4 linked regions of the Saccharomyces cerevisiae S288C genome follow. Changing the gene in region 3 together with the main gene of any one other region gives a genetic interaction. Each region holds a gene or a part of one and is shown on either strand. Other genes may lie near its edges.

Region 1 (5,999 bases), on a different chromosome or scaffold from region 3:
TTCTTGATTGGTTTCTTCACTCCCTTCATTACAAGTGCAATTGGATTTTCATACGGGTATGTCTTCATGGGCTGTTTGGTATTTTCATTCTTCTACGTGTTTTTCTTTGTCTGTGAAACCAAGGGCTTAACATTAGAGGAAGTTAATGAAATGTATGTTGAAGGTGTCAAACCATGGAAATCTGGTAGCTGGATCTCAAAAGAAAAAAGAGTTTCCGAGGAATAAGAGATTATACTTAAACTAGCACTGATTTTTTTAAGGCTAATGGCTACTAATACTTTAATAGATGATCTTCATACTTTTTTATTTAACGATTTTTAATGATGTTTTTATTTGTACCACTCATTTATCTAGATTTTTTTAATACTGATCAAATCTTACGGACTCGACGTTAAAAAGTTCCTACATACGTCTGGTACTTGAAACGCTGCTTCGAGGTATTGACACTATAAGAATACGATCCAAATACTTACACCGCATGTAAAAATATGCCGACAATATGAATACTTGTTGATGAATGATATTTGATTTTAATCCGGCAATTTACCTCCTTTATATAATCCAATAATTGTTGATAATTAGTGGTTAGGTTGCAGTACTAATAAGAATTAAGACAAATATTCTTCTACTATATAAAAGGTGCAAACAAAACACACGCCGATCGGCCATACTAAACAAGACCAACATAATAATGGTGGAACCATTTACTGTATTTTCAATGTAACGACTCATATCCTTATACATGAGACGTCAAGTTTCTCGTTGAAGTAATAATGAATCTTTAACTTTACTGTGCCACATATCACGTAATCATATATTGTTTTTCGCCTTCAAGCATCAATGGCGTATTGTGGCTGATTACTTCATATGATCACTAATTAACTAATTATGAAAAATAATAAATAAGTCACCAACCAAGCAAGGAAATTAGCTTCAAGTAAACAGTTGGTTCTTTCTGGCGAGTTAGAACAAAATTAAACAATAATCTATCGACTAGCATTCATATCACCAATATATCGTCATATACAGCGAAATGATTGCATTTACTGGATTGAATGGATACACTTTGAAGATGAACCTTTATCATAGTTGAAATGGGATAGCTGAGAAACTTGTGCATGATTTGATGATTGTTTGGGTTCAACCGTTGGGGATAAGGACTATAATATTAGGTACACAGAAATTCCAAATATATAAGTAGCAGTGCTTTATGAAACTATAATGTCAGAGTAGTTATGTAAAAATAGAACAATTGATATGATCGTTTCTTTAATAACTCGATAAGGAGTTCTCTACGAAAAATATCAACAGTGAAATATAATCCGATATAGTGTAACGGCTATCACATCACGCTTTCACCGTGGAGACCGGGGTTCGACTCCCCGTAGCGGAGTTTTCTTTTTGAAGAAATTTGAAAATTTTTTTCTTCACGTCGACCAAGGTTTTTTCCGGTCAAACATGGCCAATAAAACGGATACCATTTCTTGGAAATTATACGCTTCGAAGTATTCTCAAAAAAGGAAATTGTCTGCAGTGAAGATTGGATATAAGGTTCACTAAACACAGAGTAGTAATTGAGCTGTAATTTGTTTACAGAACGAATCAAATCAGCGTAGTGTTACAGTTTATCTGAGACTGCATATCTTTAATCTCTATGAGCGAGAAAAAAGAAGAAGTTAAAAACGCCACCGTTAAGGTGACTGTCAAACTTCCAAAAGAAGATAACCATTCGCATAATACGAAACATCTCAAAAAGACCCAAAGTTCAAAAAATAATGATATATCTTTTGAAATCGGCAAGGAATCCAAAATTCAAACTGTTCTAGATGTGTTGGCTATGATTCCAAGTTCCAAGTACCTGACAAACGTTGGGCTGAAAACAATTGAAGGTGACTCCCAGCTATCTGATGAAATGTCTATAAAGGAAATTGTTGGTGAGAAAAGCGAGTTAAAACTTCAATTGATACTGAAGCCATATAGCGCAAGAGAGGCTTTGAAACATGTGATTACTGTTCGCGATTTCATCGGATTTGCCCAAGAAACCTCAGATGGATTATCTGAATTTGCTATTTCTACTGGTTCAAGCTTTTCCTCGTTACCGTTGGGTCCTATCAAGGAACGCTCAAAACAAGAAGAAAAAGACGAGAAGAGCGATCCAGAAGAAAAGAAAAATACTTTCAAAGATGTGACTGACGAGGAAAAACTAAAATTTAACGAGATGGTTCACGAAGTGTTTTCTAGCTTTAAGAATTCTTCAATTAACAAACTTCTCACCTCTGAATCCAACATCATCACGCCGTGCGTCAGGTCTTTGAGTTTCGCACCTTACAATCCTGTACCTCCATTTTATAGAAGTAAAGGTCATCTATTTTACCTACAAATTGTCACTTTGGAAGGTGAGAGTTTCTATATCACTGCAATTCCATCTGGATTCTATGTCAATAAATCAAACTCAACTAAGTTCGATCCTTCTCCAAAAGAAAACACTGACGAGAACGCGCACTCATCCCTGATCTATTACAGTCTATTTGACTTGATTGCTTCTCGCTCTAAAAAATTCATTTCTCATGTCCAAGCATTCGAGAAAAAACTATCTGCTTTAGATTCTACAAGCTATGTAAGACCAAGCAATACTTTCTTGCATAAACCATGGTTTGTTTCTTCATTGCCACCAAATAACCCAGATTATCTGAGGTTACAAACTGCCGCCTTGGATACCACGCCAGAAAGAAACTTTAATGATGAATTTCAAGCCATTAAAGATTTGACTACGTCAACATTACAAGATCGTATTGAAATGGAAAGGTTGTTTTCTAAAGTTGTACATGAATTTTCTGTTACTGCAGCATCAGGCGCTATGTCAATTTTTTACAGTGATTTCGTTGCAATGAACCCAGAATCTCCAACTCGGGATCAAATTTTCTTAAAAGACAATATCTTTTATTCCTATGTTTCCGACGTTAGTGGCAATTATGAAGGGAAAGGTGGGGATGAAGCTGCAATCGCTGCTTCCAACCAAGACTTGAAGACAATCAATATTTTGAATCGCTTGCATATGCACGAAGTTCGTTATCTTTTAACAACTGTAGTCGAATTTGCAGGCAGAAGAATTTTGGCTCAAACTCCAGTACCTGGACTCTTAGCTACCATGGGTAACAAAATTGTAAAAGATGCTAATACCGGCGAAGAGGTTACCGAAGATTTTGTCAATGATATTAATGTAAAGTACGGCCTTGATGAAGGTTTGGGAAAGATTGTTTATGATGCTGACTTTGATTCTGTTTTAGAAAAAAAGTTTGTCAAGGCATTCCATTTGAAAAAGCACAAAGTCAACGGTACTGAATTAGCATTTTCATCGCAATCCAAGGGAATAGTTGGATTCGATAAGAGGCGCTATATTTTGGATTTAGCCAACACGTATCCCTTGGACATCAACTTTGCTAGACAAAACTTTGACAACATCGAAGAGACTGGAAACCGTTACCCACACAGGCAAACTTTGTTACGTCCGGAGTTAGTAGAAAAGTGGTGGAATAATAAAGTTGAGAAGGAAGGTGTTGAATTTGAAAAGGCCTATGAAGAAAATTTGTTTAGTTATAACCCTGATGCTTACCAGGTCGAAGGTATTGAGGACGCTAATGTTGACGAAATGTCGAACTACTTACAAAAAGAAGTTATTCCCAGCGTTATTCAAGATTATTTATCTGGAAATTTGAGCACTCCTTATAATGGTGAACATTTAGCCGATACTTTACATAAGAATGGTATCAACATGCGTTACTTGGGTAAAATTATCGAGCTTTCTCAAAAGGAATTGGACTCCCAAATTGTCCACTACGAACAAAATTTGAAAGCTGTTGAACAAGACAACAAAGAATATGAGGATTGGGAAAAATCTTATCTGCAAAAAATTGAGAACATGATTAAAGAGAGACAAGCCAAGATTAATAAGCTGGTACAAGAAGGCAAAGAGGTTCCAAAAGAACTAACTGAAGATTTGAAATTAAACGATGAAGAAATCAAAAAGCCCACCGATGGAAAACCTGTGGTCGTTGCCTATGATGAGCTAGTGCCATTAATTAAAATTTCCGAATTAGAAATTGTTTCGCGTTCTTTGAAACATGTTTTAAAAGATTTGAGTAAAGATGTTCCGGTCTTCTTGGTTCCATCACTGGTAGCATACGTTTTCAATATGTTAGTTGGTATCAACTACAATGCTGATCCGAAGCCAGAACCAGTCGACGAATTTTATCCAGTCAATAAGTGCTCATTTGCTAAATTAACACGCTCCGAATTGCTGGAAGCTGTCTCTAAACAAGCCTTCTTGCGTTTCCGTCATCAATTACCATCCAATTGGATCGAAGCTTACATGGAAAATCCTTTCACCCTCATTAGAAGTGTTTCTTACAAATTTGGTATTCAATTGCTCAATAAAGAATACTTCTTTACTAGAGAACAATTGGAAAGTTATAAGCAAAGTCTTGACAAGAAAATTAGGAACAAGTTTGTCGAACCACCAACTACCTTCAGTTTAAGCGATTTGACCATTATTCCACGTGTTAAGTTCTCAGAATATACTTCTTCAGTTAGTGAGGAATTTTGGGCTCAAGGTGCTTCTATGATCAACGAAGACAAACAAAGTGCTTTGACTTTACTCGCTCAATCAATTACAGTCTTAGAAGATGTTAACAATATTTTACATCCCGCCGTTGCTGAAAAGTACTTGTCATTATCTGCCATTTATAATAAGTTAGCATTATACCCTGAAGCTATCGCGTTCTGTCGTAAAGCATGTACTATTTATGAAAGAGTTAGCGGTATTGATTCTTTTGAAATGATGAGGGCTTTAACTAATTTAGCAATTCTAGAATTCTCTAATGAAAGTCCTTATAACGCTACTGTGGTTTATAATAGGCTCGCAGAAATCCTAAAAGTTTATGAGTTACCAAAAATCCATCACCCAGCCCCCACAAGCATTTTCAACCATTTGGAACAATTAGCCCTAGGTGTTCAAGATACCAAATTGGCTATTGAAGTCTTGGGACAACTAAGCTCCTATGTTGTGGAATTAGAAGGCAAAGATTCATTAGCATATGGCTATACCGAGTCACGTTTAGGTAATTTGTTTGCAGCATTGAAGGATTTCCACCGTGCATTAGAGCACATCACTGTAACCCAAGGGATTTTCACCAAGCAATTGGGTATGAATCACACGCACTCAGCCCAATCAAGACAGTGGGTTAATGGTTTAAGCTCATTAATAATGGATTTAAAACAAAAGAAGCAACTTGCACAAGATCAAATGTCGACAACGGGATCAAATTCAGCTGGCCATAAAAAAACCAATCACCGTCAAAAGAAGGATGACGTTAAACCTGAATTGGCTAACAAAAGTGTGGATGAGTTGTTAACATTTATAGAAGGCGATTCTTCCAACTCTAAGAGCAAAAACAAAACCAACAATAAAAAGAAGCATGGTAAGAAATAGAGAGCTAACTTAACAATCTCGTTTATTTATTATTTTTCTTTATATCTATAGCCCATACTTGTATATACTACGTGTAAGTACTAGATATAAAACGAAAAAAAAATACTTACAATTATTTTTTTTTCTTTACTGCTCTATTCTTTTCTTTATTCTATTCATAAATGCAAACAATTAGTTATGTAATTTTAAAAGTTGAAAATAATTGACTTTGTCAAAGAGTAATTAATTTTTCACAAATCATCATAAATGCAGGTATCAAAATATTGTCATTAAGCACACTATTACCTTCTAGCACTCCACTCAGTGTACAAAGGGTAAGCAATTGTAAAGTAGTTAGGTGGTTAAAAATTGCAGCTTTATCAAAACGTAACAATACCAAACAAACGATAAAACTCGTTACTATAAACGCAAGAGTTCCCTCTAAAGTTTTTTGTGTACCTTTCCAACGAATGCGGCCATACCTTTTACCAATAATAGATGCTAAGGAATCACCAATTCCCAATCCTATTAG
Region 2 (3,137 bases), on a different chromosome or scaffold from region 3:
GTGAAAAAAAAAAATTAAAAGTTTATACTCCTCCTTGTTTAAAGCTCATCATGTTCGATGAAAACACCAGCTGCTACGTTTGTTACCTCCGATTCAGTATTCCCTGTCGTTTGTGATCCAGCTTCCCCGATGTCTCTGGTTGTATGACTAGTGCTTTCATCATCATCCATCCTTGCGTTGTTTATCTGCTCAACTTTGTTATCATCATTTAATGAGGATTTCAACTTGTTCATCAACGCCAGTTCAAAATCATTATTCGGTTGATTTCTCATGTTTTCAAATATTACTTCCATTTCATGTGGACTTACGATTTCGTTTAATAATTCTTTCACTTCTGCTATCTCCTTAGAAATCCTCAAGAATAGCTCATTATCAGTGTTAATTAAGTATTCATCTGACCGAATTTCTGCGGTATTTATATCTGCTTTGTTTGAGTGGGTTATTTGACCAAGTTCAGTTGACTCGCCATGATCCCCAATTTTGTATGATAGGAAGTTTCCATTATCTTCATTAAATGTAAACGTCTTGTTGAAAAATATCTCTGCTCTCTGTGAATTAAGTATGTTCAACGATAAAGTGGTTTGAAACCGATCTTTCATATCAACCACTTCCGCCAACCAAACACATGAGTCACCAGGCTGGAGAATATGTCCATTAGGTAACGATACTAATCTCAAACTAAGCATTTTGTTTATGGCATTTCCAAATTTCTGGTAATATGTTTCCGTAATCTCATCCCAATTTGACATGGCATTGTCAGTAACCATTAATTTGTCTCTTTCGTCGGTGTTAAAGGGCCTTAGAAAGTATATTCCAGAACCTAAAAAAATCGGTTCATATTTGGTGATTAAATCAATAGAGTTACTACCAATTTTTGATTTTGCGGGCATCCTGCAAAGTATAGGTGAGGCGTTCTTTTGGTCTTCATTTTTGGCTAGTAATTCTAAATTGCACAATTCAGGTATGGTAACTTGGGCTTCATAAACACAAATTTTTGTTTCTCTCACCCATTGAATAGTCGATGGTCCAGAGTTTGAGCCGCCACAGACATATTGTATTTCAACCATTCTTTCAGCCCCCGTCACATCGCAAATATCACCTGACCCTATAATTTCGCTGATGTAATATCCTACATCGTCATAAAGTAGTTCAAATTCTCTCTCTTCTACATTTGCTTTTGGTTTTCCCAGGCGGTAGACCAAAGATTCATCTCGATTTACTATTTCACCAGTTTTTGTATTTACTCTACCATGGAACTGAACAAATTCTATGCCAGGACAGTACTCGTAAATCCAAAATCCGGCTTGGTAGAAGATGCACCGTTCATTTAATTTATCGAAAATTGTCTTAACACCTTGATTCAGGGTTTTAGTTAATAATGCTGTCTTTTCACTATTGCTATGCTCATTTGAGTCTTCCAATACATCATTCAATTGAGTGCTTGCATTTTGAATAAAGCATTCAAGGTCGTCGCCCATATTCACTATATATCCCGAGTTCATGACAGACTGATTTTGTAATATCCTATCACTCCAGTCGTCCTCATCGATGTAAGATATGAGGTACTTATTCGATACTATGGGGTCTTCTATAGGTGCTAATAGTGATGATCCTAACGGAATCAACGCAGAAATTGCGCTCAGAGCATATATAATTTTAGCTTGCATTGAAACAGGGAAGAAAGGGGATGATAACGATATATGTGAAGATCTATTGCTTATTTTAGGGAATCTGCTTCTTTTTTATGAAGCTACATTTTTACTTGAAATTTCCGCTGTATTTTTTTGCATACGTGCGCTGGGTCTCTAACCACTGTATTTGCATTGGTAACTTAAAAACCCAACCAAATATAGGAATAATTAGAAGTATATAAAAGACACTTTGAGTAAAAAAACAAGGTGGTACTATTCAACACTATCTAACAAGAACTGTACAATACTCATTGAAGGAAAGATGCTTGTGCGGCTGTTGCGTGTGATTTTATTGGCCAGCATGGTTTTCTGTGCTGATATTTTACAATTAAGCTATTCAGATGATGCGAAAGACGCTATACCCCTAGGAACATTTGAGATTGATAGTACATCCGATGGGAATGTTACAGTAACAACCGTTAATATACAGGATGTTGAAGTTTCTGGAGAATACTGTTTGAATGCCCAGATTGAAGGTAAGCTGGATATGCCATGTTTTAGCTACATGAAGCTGAGGACACCACTAAAATACGATTTAATTGTGGATGTAGATGAAGATAATGAGGTCAAACAAGTGTCGTTATCATATGACGAGACTAACGATGCTATTACTGCTACAGTCAGATATCCAGAAGCGGGACCTACTGCACCAGTCACCAAATTAAAGAAGAAAACCAAAACTTATGCTGATAAAAAAGCTAGTAAGAATAAGGATGGAAGCACTGCACAATTCGAAGAAGATGAAGAGGTTAAGGAGGTGTCTTGGTTTCAAAAGAACTGGAAAATGTTACTTTTAGGCCTATTGATTTACAATTTTGTTGCGGGCTCAGCAAAGAAGCAACAACAAGGAGGTGCCGGAGCTGATCAAAAGACTGAGTAAATAAAGTATTGTGATTTTTTAAATTTTTAAGTGTCGTTACTTTTATCTCTTTCCCGAAAATATTTGAATACATAAAATTTTTAAATAAATGTTTTTATTTGTTCACATGTCGTGAATGACAGGTACTAGTTATCAAAAATGAAGAATATTTCTTCATTCCATTACATTATAGACATGATGATTGCCGTCAAAAGACCGACCAAAGGGGTTGTTTGGCCAATTGGTGCCATGATAGCGGCATTGCCTTTGGAACTCTTAGAGCTAGAGCTGGAAGCGCCAGAACTAGAAACACTAGAGGCAGAAGCAGCAGCCTTGATATCGCCAGAAGTGAACTTCTTTTCCTCGGCCTTAGAAGATGACTTGGAAACCTTGGCAGTAGTTTGGCTTGATTGAGATTTGGAAGTGGACGATAGTTTAACAGATGTGGATGATGCACCATTTTTGCAGACAAAAGATTCACCCTTGATACCCCCTTTCTTTTGCAAAGCTTTCAAAGCATTACAGGAGAAATTGCTTGACTTTGATTCGACATCTGCGCCACCCTTGACAGACTTCAAAGAGTCTAG
Region 3 (3,763 bases):
TGTGCTTAGCCGAACACTTACTTTCTCTCAAATTCCATCAAGAATTATTGTTTATTCCTCCAGAAGAGATCAAGTACCATTTACACTATTTTTTGTATTTAAGGGGTGGCAGAATTCAGGATGCCACATGCGGCTTTTAATGATAGCAAGCTTATACAGCGGAAGACAAAAAAACGGGTAACTGACATTGTATATATTCACCTTGAAAATAAGTGCTAACGCCATGTAAGGGTATGGCCCGCTTAAAGGGCAAGTTCACTCCGCTCAAGATACAAAACTGAAACGATGAAGAAAAAAAGAGCATCTTGACCTCCCGTGACTCATTAAGACCACTTGAGACCACTTGCTCTATGTGTATCAACCTATAAACTGTATATCTTTTGCATTTTGCACCTCCTTAAGGAAAGAAACTCCCTTCGAAAGTATTATTTCCCTGTGGCCCCTTACTTCTCTAATTGACAAGACAGAATTTTCTCGATAATTCCCTGGATAAAGTGTCAGTTTATAGAGTAGATCTCACTTGCCTTTTGACTGCTTCCGCAAGCAGAGGGATCGTAAGTTGTACACACCATTGCCTTGGCTATTACCACCACAATGTCGTGGCAATAGCGGAACCGTGCGGATGTAGCCATTGCTGCAAGCGAAAGCGCGGAGGTTAGCGGCAATGGCGTTCAAAACGGGATGGCTTCTTCGCCAAGTACACGGAATAATATCCAGATAGAAGTATTTTTGTGCGGTAAAGGGTACCACATCTGCAGCAGCGCAATGAAAATTGCGTATCAACAGCAAAAGAAATACTTAAATAGCATGTTTAGCACTTTTGATATAAAAAGGGGCCGCAAATGTTCTGGCGTATTACTGTTTTTTCTTGTCAAATGTGTCACTAAGCAAGCAACTTGTAATCAAGACCTCAATTCAAGGTTAGTTTACTCCTTCTCTCAAATACTACGTAACAGATCTTATTGATGACTTTGGCTTTTACGACCTTCGCTATTTCCAAGATAAACAATTCGTCCACGAATGAAGATTCTAAAGTCATGATACTGTGCGATGAGCATCACCCTTTCGAGAAGGGTTACTTTAAGTCCGCCATACGAGCCTTCGGCAACAGCATTAAGCTAGGATTAATGGGTAACTCGCGACCAGAAGACGCAGCGTCCATATTCCAAGATAAAAATATTCCTCACGATCTGACGACGGAAGAATTCAGGTTGCAGCTGGTCTGTATGGCTTTTTCCTGGTTCATATTTGGTCTCTTCATCGCCTGCTTACTACTTTGTATCACGCTTGTGCTAACATCGCGATATCCTGGAGAAAATGAAAACAAAGCCACGGAAGTTGTGCCATCCAGTAATATTGACGACGAAGAAAAGCAATTATCGCTTTCCGACATGATTTAGTACTACGTGGAAGAAAGGAAAAGAAGCTGCTTTTCTCATTTAAAACATTTAGTTTATATACTTCGCCTCTGGAGGACTTTTCAATTTATGCAATATGTGAGCACTTCTCTATTCTCGATTAGGTCTCTGATATATACATATACATAAACATAAAGCAGTAAGTTGGGTCTATTATACTGACAACCCTGTTACCCGCATTGAAATTGACAGGCTGCCCATTGATTGGTCAGTTTCCCACTAACCCGCGCTGGAGCTGATTTTTCATATTTTTAAGGATTTTGTTTTAGCACCCATCCGACCTCAGTCAATATATCCTTTCGCGACCAGGCTTTCCTCCCTTTTGCTGCTAACTGGTTACAGATTTTCCTATTTTTGGTCATTTTTATCTTTGAAACTGATTAAGCTGAAAAAATTTGAGCTTCTTTGTTGTAAACTATTTTGTGCTTTCAGTTTTATTCTAGCTCGACAAAGGTAACAGACAAAAATGTCAGCTTTATTACCAAGATTACTCACAAGAACAGCTTTTAAAGCTTCTGGGAAACTTCTGAGGCTCTCTTCAGTAATTTCTAGGACCTTTTCTCAAACTACTACTTCCTATGCAGCTGCTTTTGATCGTTCCAAACCGCATGTAAATATAGGTACGATCGGCCATGTTGATCATGGGAAGACAACTTTAACCGCAGCCATTACGAAAACGTTAGCCGCAAAAGGTGGTGCCAACTTCTTGGACTATGCTGCCATCGATAAGGCTCCGGAAGAAAGAGCTCGTGGTATTACAATTTCTACTGCACACGTGGAATACGAAACGGCCAAGAGACATTATTCTCACGTCGACTGTCCAGGCCACGCTGATTACATCAAGAATATGATTACCGGTGCTGCTCAAATGGATGGTGCTATCATTGTTGTAGCTGCTACCGATGGACAAATGCCCCAAACTAGAGAACATTTACTTTTGGCCAGACAAGTTGGTGTCCAACATATTGTCGTTTTTGTTAACAAGGTTGATACCATTGATGATCCAGAAATGTTAGAGTTAGTCGAAATGGAAATGAGAGAACTTTTAAACGAATATGGGTTTGACGGTGATAATGCTCCAATTATCATGGGTTCTGCCCTTTGCGCTTTGGAAGGTCGCCAACCTGAAATTGGGGAGCAGGCCATCATGAAACTTTTGGATGCAGTGGATGAGTATATTCCTACACCTGAAAGAGATTTGAACAAGCCTTTCTTGATGCCCGTTGAAGATATCTTCTCTATCTCCGGTAGAGGTACTGTGGTCACTGGTCGTGTGGAAAGGGGTAATTTAAAGAAAGGTGAGGAATTGGAAATTGTTGGTCACAACTCCACCCCATTGAAAACAACAGTTACTGGTATTGAAATGTTTAGAAAGGAATTGGACTCTGCTATGGCAGGTGACAATGCCGGTGTTTTACTTAGAGGTATCAGGAGAGATCAATTGAAGAGAGGTATGGTCTTAGCTAAGCCAGGTACCGTTAAAGCCCATACAAAGATTCTAGCCTCTTTGTACATTTTATCCAAAGAGGAAGGTGGTAGACATTCTGGGTTTGGTGAAAACTACAGACCACAAATGTTTATAAGAACAGCTGATGTTACAGTTGTGATGAGATTTCCTAAGGAGGTTGAAGATCATTCTATGCAAGTTATGCCAGGTGACAATGTTGAAATGGAATGTGATTTGATCCATCCTACCCCATTAGAAGTTGGTCAACGTTTCAATATCAGAGAGGGTGGAAGAACTGTTGGTACCGGTCTAATCACACGTATTATTGAATAGACTTATTGATGCAACTGGAGTATATTTCTATATATTCTGTTCATTTCCCCTCTCATAATATATACTTGTTTCGTTAAAATTTTATACGTGTAAATAAAGTGCCATAAATTTTTCAGCTTTACTTTTGGTAGAGTCCTGCTAGCACTAGATTTTACAATTTCATGTGCACACACCAAGGACGTGTTCTTATGTATATGTAAAAGATATCAAGGCGTTTTTGAATGCGTTTTTGTTGATTTGTTTACTTTCCGGCGTATTCCTACGAAAAAAGCAAAGAAAAATACAAAAAAACGAAACATTCGCAAATGATGACAACTTGAAACCGCCAAAAGTCATCGCTTGGGAATTTTGAGGCAAGAGGCTGCTTCTATAAAAGTTTTCTTTACATGGCAAAAGGGTATTCGTATTAGGATAGTATTGGTTATGAACGATATGGCAAAACCTCTCCCAACTCCACCGACTGCTGAGATCAGGAAAAGTCGATCCAATTCACCAAAAAAAGCTCAGAAAACAAATCTAAGTCCAAACAAAAATCAGAATAATGAGAAAAATGTACCTAGATCAA
Region 4 (3,472 bases), on a different chromosome or scaffold from region 3:
ACGCCAAAACATTAAAACCTGAATCCGAAAGAAGCGTAAAATGTCACTCATACATGTCATTGCACATGAGCATTGTAACCGGTATAACAATTTTTACCTTTGGTAAGTGTATCCTAGATGGATTCAAAGCATGAACGACGAAGCACGTGACACGTTCCCTTCAAACATCACAATTATTTAAGCGAGACTAATATATATGTTTAGCGAAAAAAAAGGCCAAAAAAACTAGTAAATATACAAAGCAGAGTATTTTTGGCTCTTGTCCACATTGGATAAGAGAATATTTATTTTTCACACAGAAAAAAAAGTTATATACGTATCTCTAAGAAAGTCAAAGACAAATTACGTAGAATGTGATTCATTCCCATTTCGCCCGTACACTCTCTGTCTCTGTCTCTGTCCCAAACTTCCCTTCCTATACGTATTCATAATCTGCTTAAACGTCAACAGTAGTTTCGGAACATCTTCATACGTAGGGAATACGACTTTTTTCTTTTCACCTGCAGCTTGAGCCAAACTAAAACTGGGATCCGGATAAACTATTAATAAAGGATCGCAAAGTCCATACGCCAGTTTAATGGGAATGAAATGATATTGCGAAGTGACGTCAAGAATCGACTTTAAGCTATATCCGAAGTCAAGAAAGCCGAACCTTACATGCGGTCGGAAAGCAAACGAGGAGATTAGATTGGTTTTCATATCCGCTAAATTTTCTTTTGATTTTACTTTGGCTTAATCTAATGCATGTATATCGGAAGAAGCAACCGATCTGGCCCAGTTGAGTCGTGCTACCTTAGTCATGCCCAGGAAAACCGGATTCCTTCTTTTCATTATGACATCCGTTTAGGTCAATAGGCTTTTTTTTCTCTCGCCCGTGCCTCTCCGTGTTCGATGAATGTGCAGCTTGCCTCCGAGCGGGCGAGCCACCTCGAGCGGGTGACGAAATAGTGGAAAAGAAACGGGGAAGCAAAACTGTGCTGTTCTGGCCCGCAGCGGACGAACGTCATTAAAGGCGCTCCATTTCTGTCGTGAGGGTCTTTCGGTGCGGTGGTGAGGCTGCGTAAACAAGCTTGCTCTTCATACCCCTCCCGTGGAGCTAGTTCGGAAGGACTATTGGCGCATCTTCTGTTGAGAGGTTCCGTAATTCTCCGTAACGTCCCGTTCACCACTTTGCATGTGCTCTCACGTACGGCCGTCTCTTTTCGGCCTTCGGCCCGTTCCGATTTTTGTACCCCTTACGTGCTTTGAATTCTAGAAGGCATCTCCTCTCCGATGGCTTGGTACAGGGAGCACTAGGGAAATTGCACATGGAAGTATCTGGAATACAAAGTTTTTGAAAAGAAAAGCCGAGCGTAATATTGGGACAATACCCAGTTCTCAGCCTTTTCAGCGCGGGTATGAGACAGCTTGCAACAGGTAAAAGGAAGTTAGAAGGGTTAGGTGAAGGGAACGATGATGCTGCCTGAGAACAAAAATGCAGCTTCATGTTACATACAATAAAGGAAGGATAATTAAGGGGACCATGCAATAAGGGACAACTTAATTTTGGAAAAATCGGAGCTTAGTTGCATCTACCTACTAATACTTTCCCCAAAGAATAATAATACGAGTACAATACATATATATATATATATATAATATACACATGTAAGTGATGACTATTCTTAATACAAAAAAATTTCCCTTTTATAATAACTATTCTTAGCATTAAATAACCCGTTACTGACAAAAAGCATATAACATAGGACTCAAGATCGACTCTCATACCCTCCGAATCAAATTCTCACTCGTATACGCAATCATTTAAATAAGCACATCATTATCAGCATATACCGAATAATAAAAAGCAAAAATGTATACAAAACTAAGATCTATACAATCAGGAACATTTAGCACAGTTTATAAAGCATGGAGTACTACACATAACCGCTACGTCGCTTTAAAGATTACTCCTAAATACAAAACTTCAGAAGCCAACATGAAGAACGAGTATGATGTAATGAAGATTTTGAGTTCTTGTAATCCTCACCCCAACATCTGTTCGATGCTCGACTTTTACACGGATGACTCGTACTACATCATGGTGCTAGAATACTGCGAATGTGGTGATCTTTATGACTTTCTAGATATTGCTAAGAGTCAAGGTAGCCCGTCGTCTCCATCTTTGATTCAAATTGATATGCAAAAGATAATCAAACAACTGTGCTCAGCAATCAGCTTTGCTCACAGCTTGGGTATTGCTCATCGTGATATCAAACCAGAAAATATTTTGCTAACGATAAATGGTGACATCAAGTTGGCAGACTGGGGTCACGCTATCCAATCCCCTAAATCTAACGACTTCCAGATTGGTACCGATAATTACAGGGCGCCAGAAACTTTCTCTGGCCGCGTTAGTAACTCTTGTTTTAAGAAGAATTTCGATCGGTCATCGGCTCCATTGTATAACACATACCAAGCTGACTATTGGTCATTGGGTGCCACCATATTTTATCTGATGTTCGGCGATTGCCTTTTTAGAGTCTCCAAATCAAAGAAGGTTCAGCATCTAAAAAATTTCGATGAGTTTGAAAAAGATCCATTTGCATTCATTTACAGGAAATACGTAGTACCAAGGCTCTCCTGTGGTTACAATGATGAAGAAGACCTACACGTTAGCCTGCAGCATACGAGGCAGTACATATGGCAAGATCTACCCGACATTTATGATGTCTTCCATTTGTGCAAGATTATGGTTGATACCTTATTAAAGGTATCGAACGCTAAAGAGAGGTCGATGGAGAATTTCATCAATGAAGTTGATTCTGCATGGAACAAAGATAGCTCGATGGACAGCTGCTTCTCGTACCAAAATAAGATTGATCTGTTTTGGGAACAGTGGTCTGTGAACACGGAAACAGTACCAGCAAAGTTCCAATTGAAAAATTTTGAGAAACCTTGCCTAATTCAAGATGGAAAATAAGAAGTAAAAAAGACCTTTTGAAAGTTTCGCCTCATTTTCCTTGATCTGACTTTTTATCCCCTGCTTATCCAATTTTAGTTAGGAACTTTGGCATAATTTCAGTATTACATACTACCTAATCGACATAAAATAATATTACATATTCATTTTTTTAAAAAATAATCATAATCAATTTATCCTTTTTATTCCTTTTTTCTCCTGTGCAAGGTTGATGGTGATGTTTATGATGGTGTGTTTATTATTTACAAATAAAGATGCTATCTAATTCTTGTATATCGTATTAACATGCAAATGCACCGCGAGTGGCAATTTTCTTCTCGTAATGGATCAGTTCAACATCTTCAATGGTATGAACCAGAATTTTCGAATTTTCTTCGTTAAATTCGAATATGAATGTTCCCTTAATCAGCCGGGATAATCTCTTTTTTTTACTTCTTTTACCGTCGCCATCATTTTTCTTCTTCTCATCTTCTTTGGAATTTTGAGTTTCGTTGACCTTATTTTCCATTG

What was found.
Region 1: mutations in TUF1 (region 3) and CLU1 together harm fitness less than expected from each alone (positive genetic interaction), as found in Saccharomyces cerevisiae (one large-scale study listed by BioGRID).
Region 2: mutations in TUF1 (region 3) and EMC10 together harm fitness more than expected from each alone (negative genetic interaction), as found in Saccharomyces cerevisiae (one large-scale study listed by BioGRID).
Region 4: mutations in TUF1 (region 3) and FMP48 together harm fitness more than expected from each alone (negative genetic interaction), as found in Saccharomyces cerevisiae (one large-scale study listed by BioGRID).

What each region holds. Positions count from the first base shown.
Region 1 is NC_001145.3:289,480-295,478, forward strand, and holds CLU1 (translation initiation factor 3 subunit CLU1), read left to right. Parts: upstream 1-1,654; coding exon 1,655-5,488; downstream 5,489-5,999. Other genes in the region: hexose transporter HXT2, read left to right, coding at 1-225; SEC59 (dolichol kinase), read right to left, coding at 5,700-5,999. UniProt on the Saccharomyces cerevisiae protein: mRNA-binding protein involved in proper cytoplasmic distribution of mitochondria.
Region 2 is NC_001136.10:564,457-567,593, reverse strand, and holds EMC10 (Emc10p), read left to right. Parts: upstream 1-1,953; coding exon 1,954-2,571; downstream 2,572-3,137. Other genes in the region: YOS9 (Yos9p), read right to left, coding at 39-1,667; PST1 (Pst1p), read right to left, coding at 2,733-3,137. UniProt on the Saccharomyces cerevisiae protein: Part of the endoplasmic reticulum membrane protein complex (EMC) that enables the energy-independent insertion into endoplasmic reticulum membranes of newly synthesized membrane proteins.
Region 3 is NC_001147.6:682,146-685,908, forward strand, and holds TUF1 (translation elongation factor Tu), read left to right. Parts: upstream 1-1,884; coding exon 1,885-3,198; downstream 3,199-3,763. Other genes in the region: YOR186W (uncharacterized protein), read left to right, coding at 966-1,400; MSB1 (Msb1p), read left to right, coding at 3,622-3,763. UniProt on the Saccharomyces cerevisiae protein: G-protein that, in its active GTP-bound form, binds to and delivers aminoacyl-tRNA to the A-site of ribosomes during protein biosynthesis.
Region 4 is NC_001139.9:591,744-595,215, forward strand, and holds FMP48 (protein kinase FMP48), read left to right. Parts: upstream 1-1,852; coding exon 1,853-2,962; downstream 2,963-3,472. Other genes in the region: SCM4 (Scm4p), read left to right, coding at 1-134; YGR050C (uncharacterized protein), read right to left, coding at 343-699; MCO32 (Mco32p), read right to left, coding at 3,243-3,472.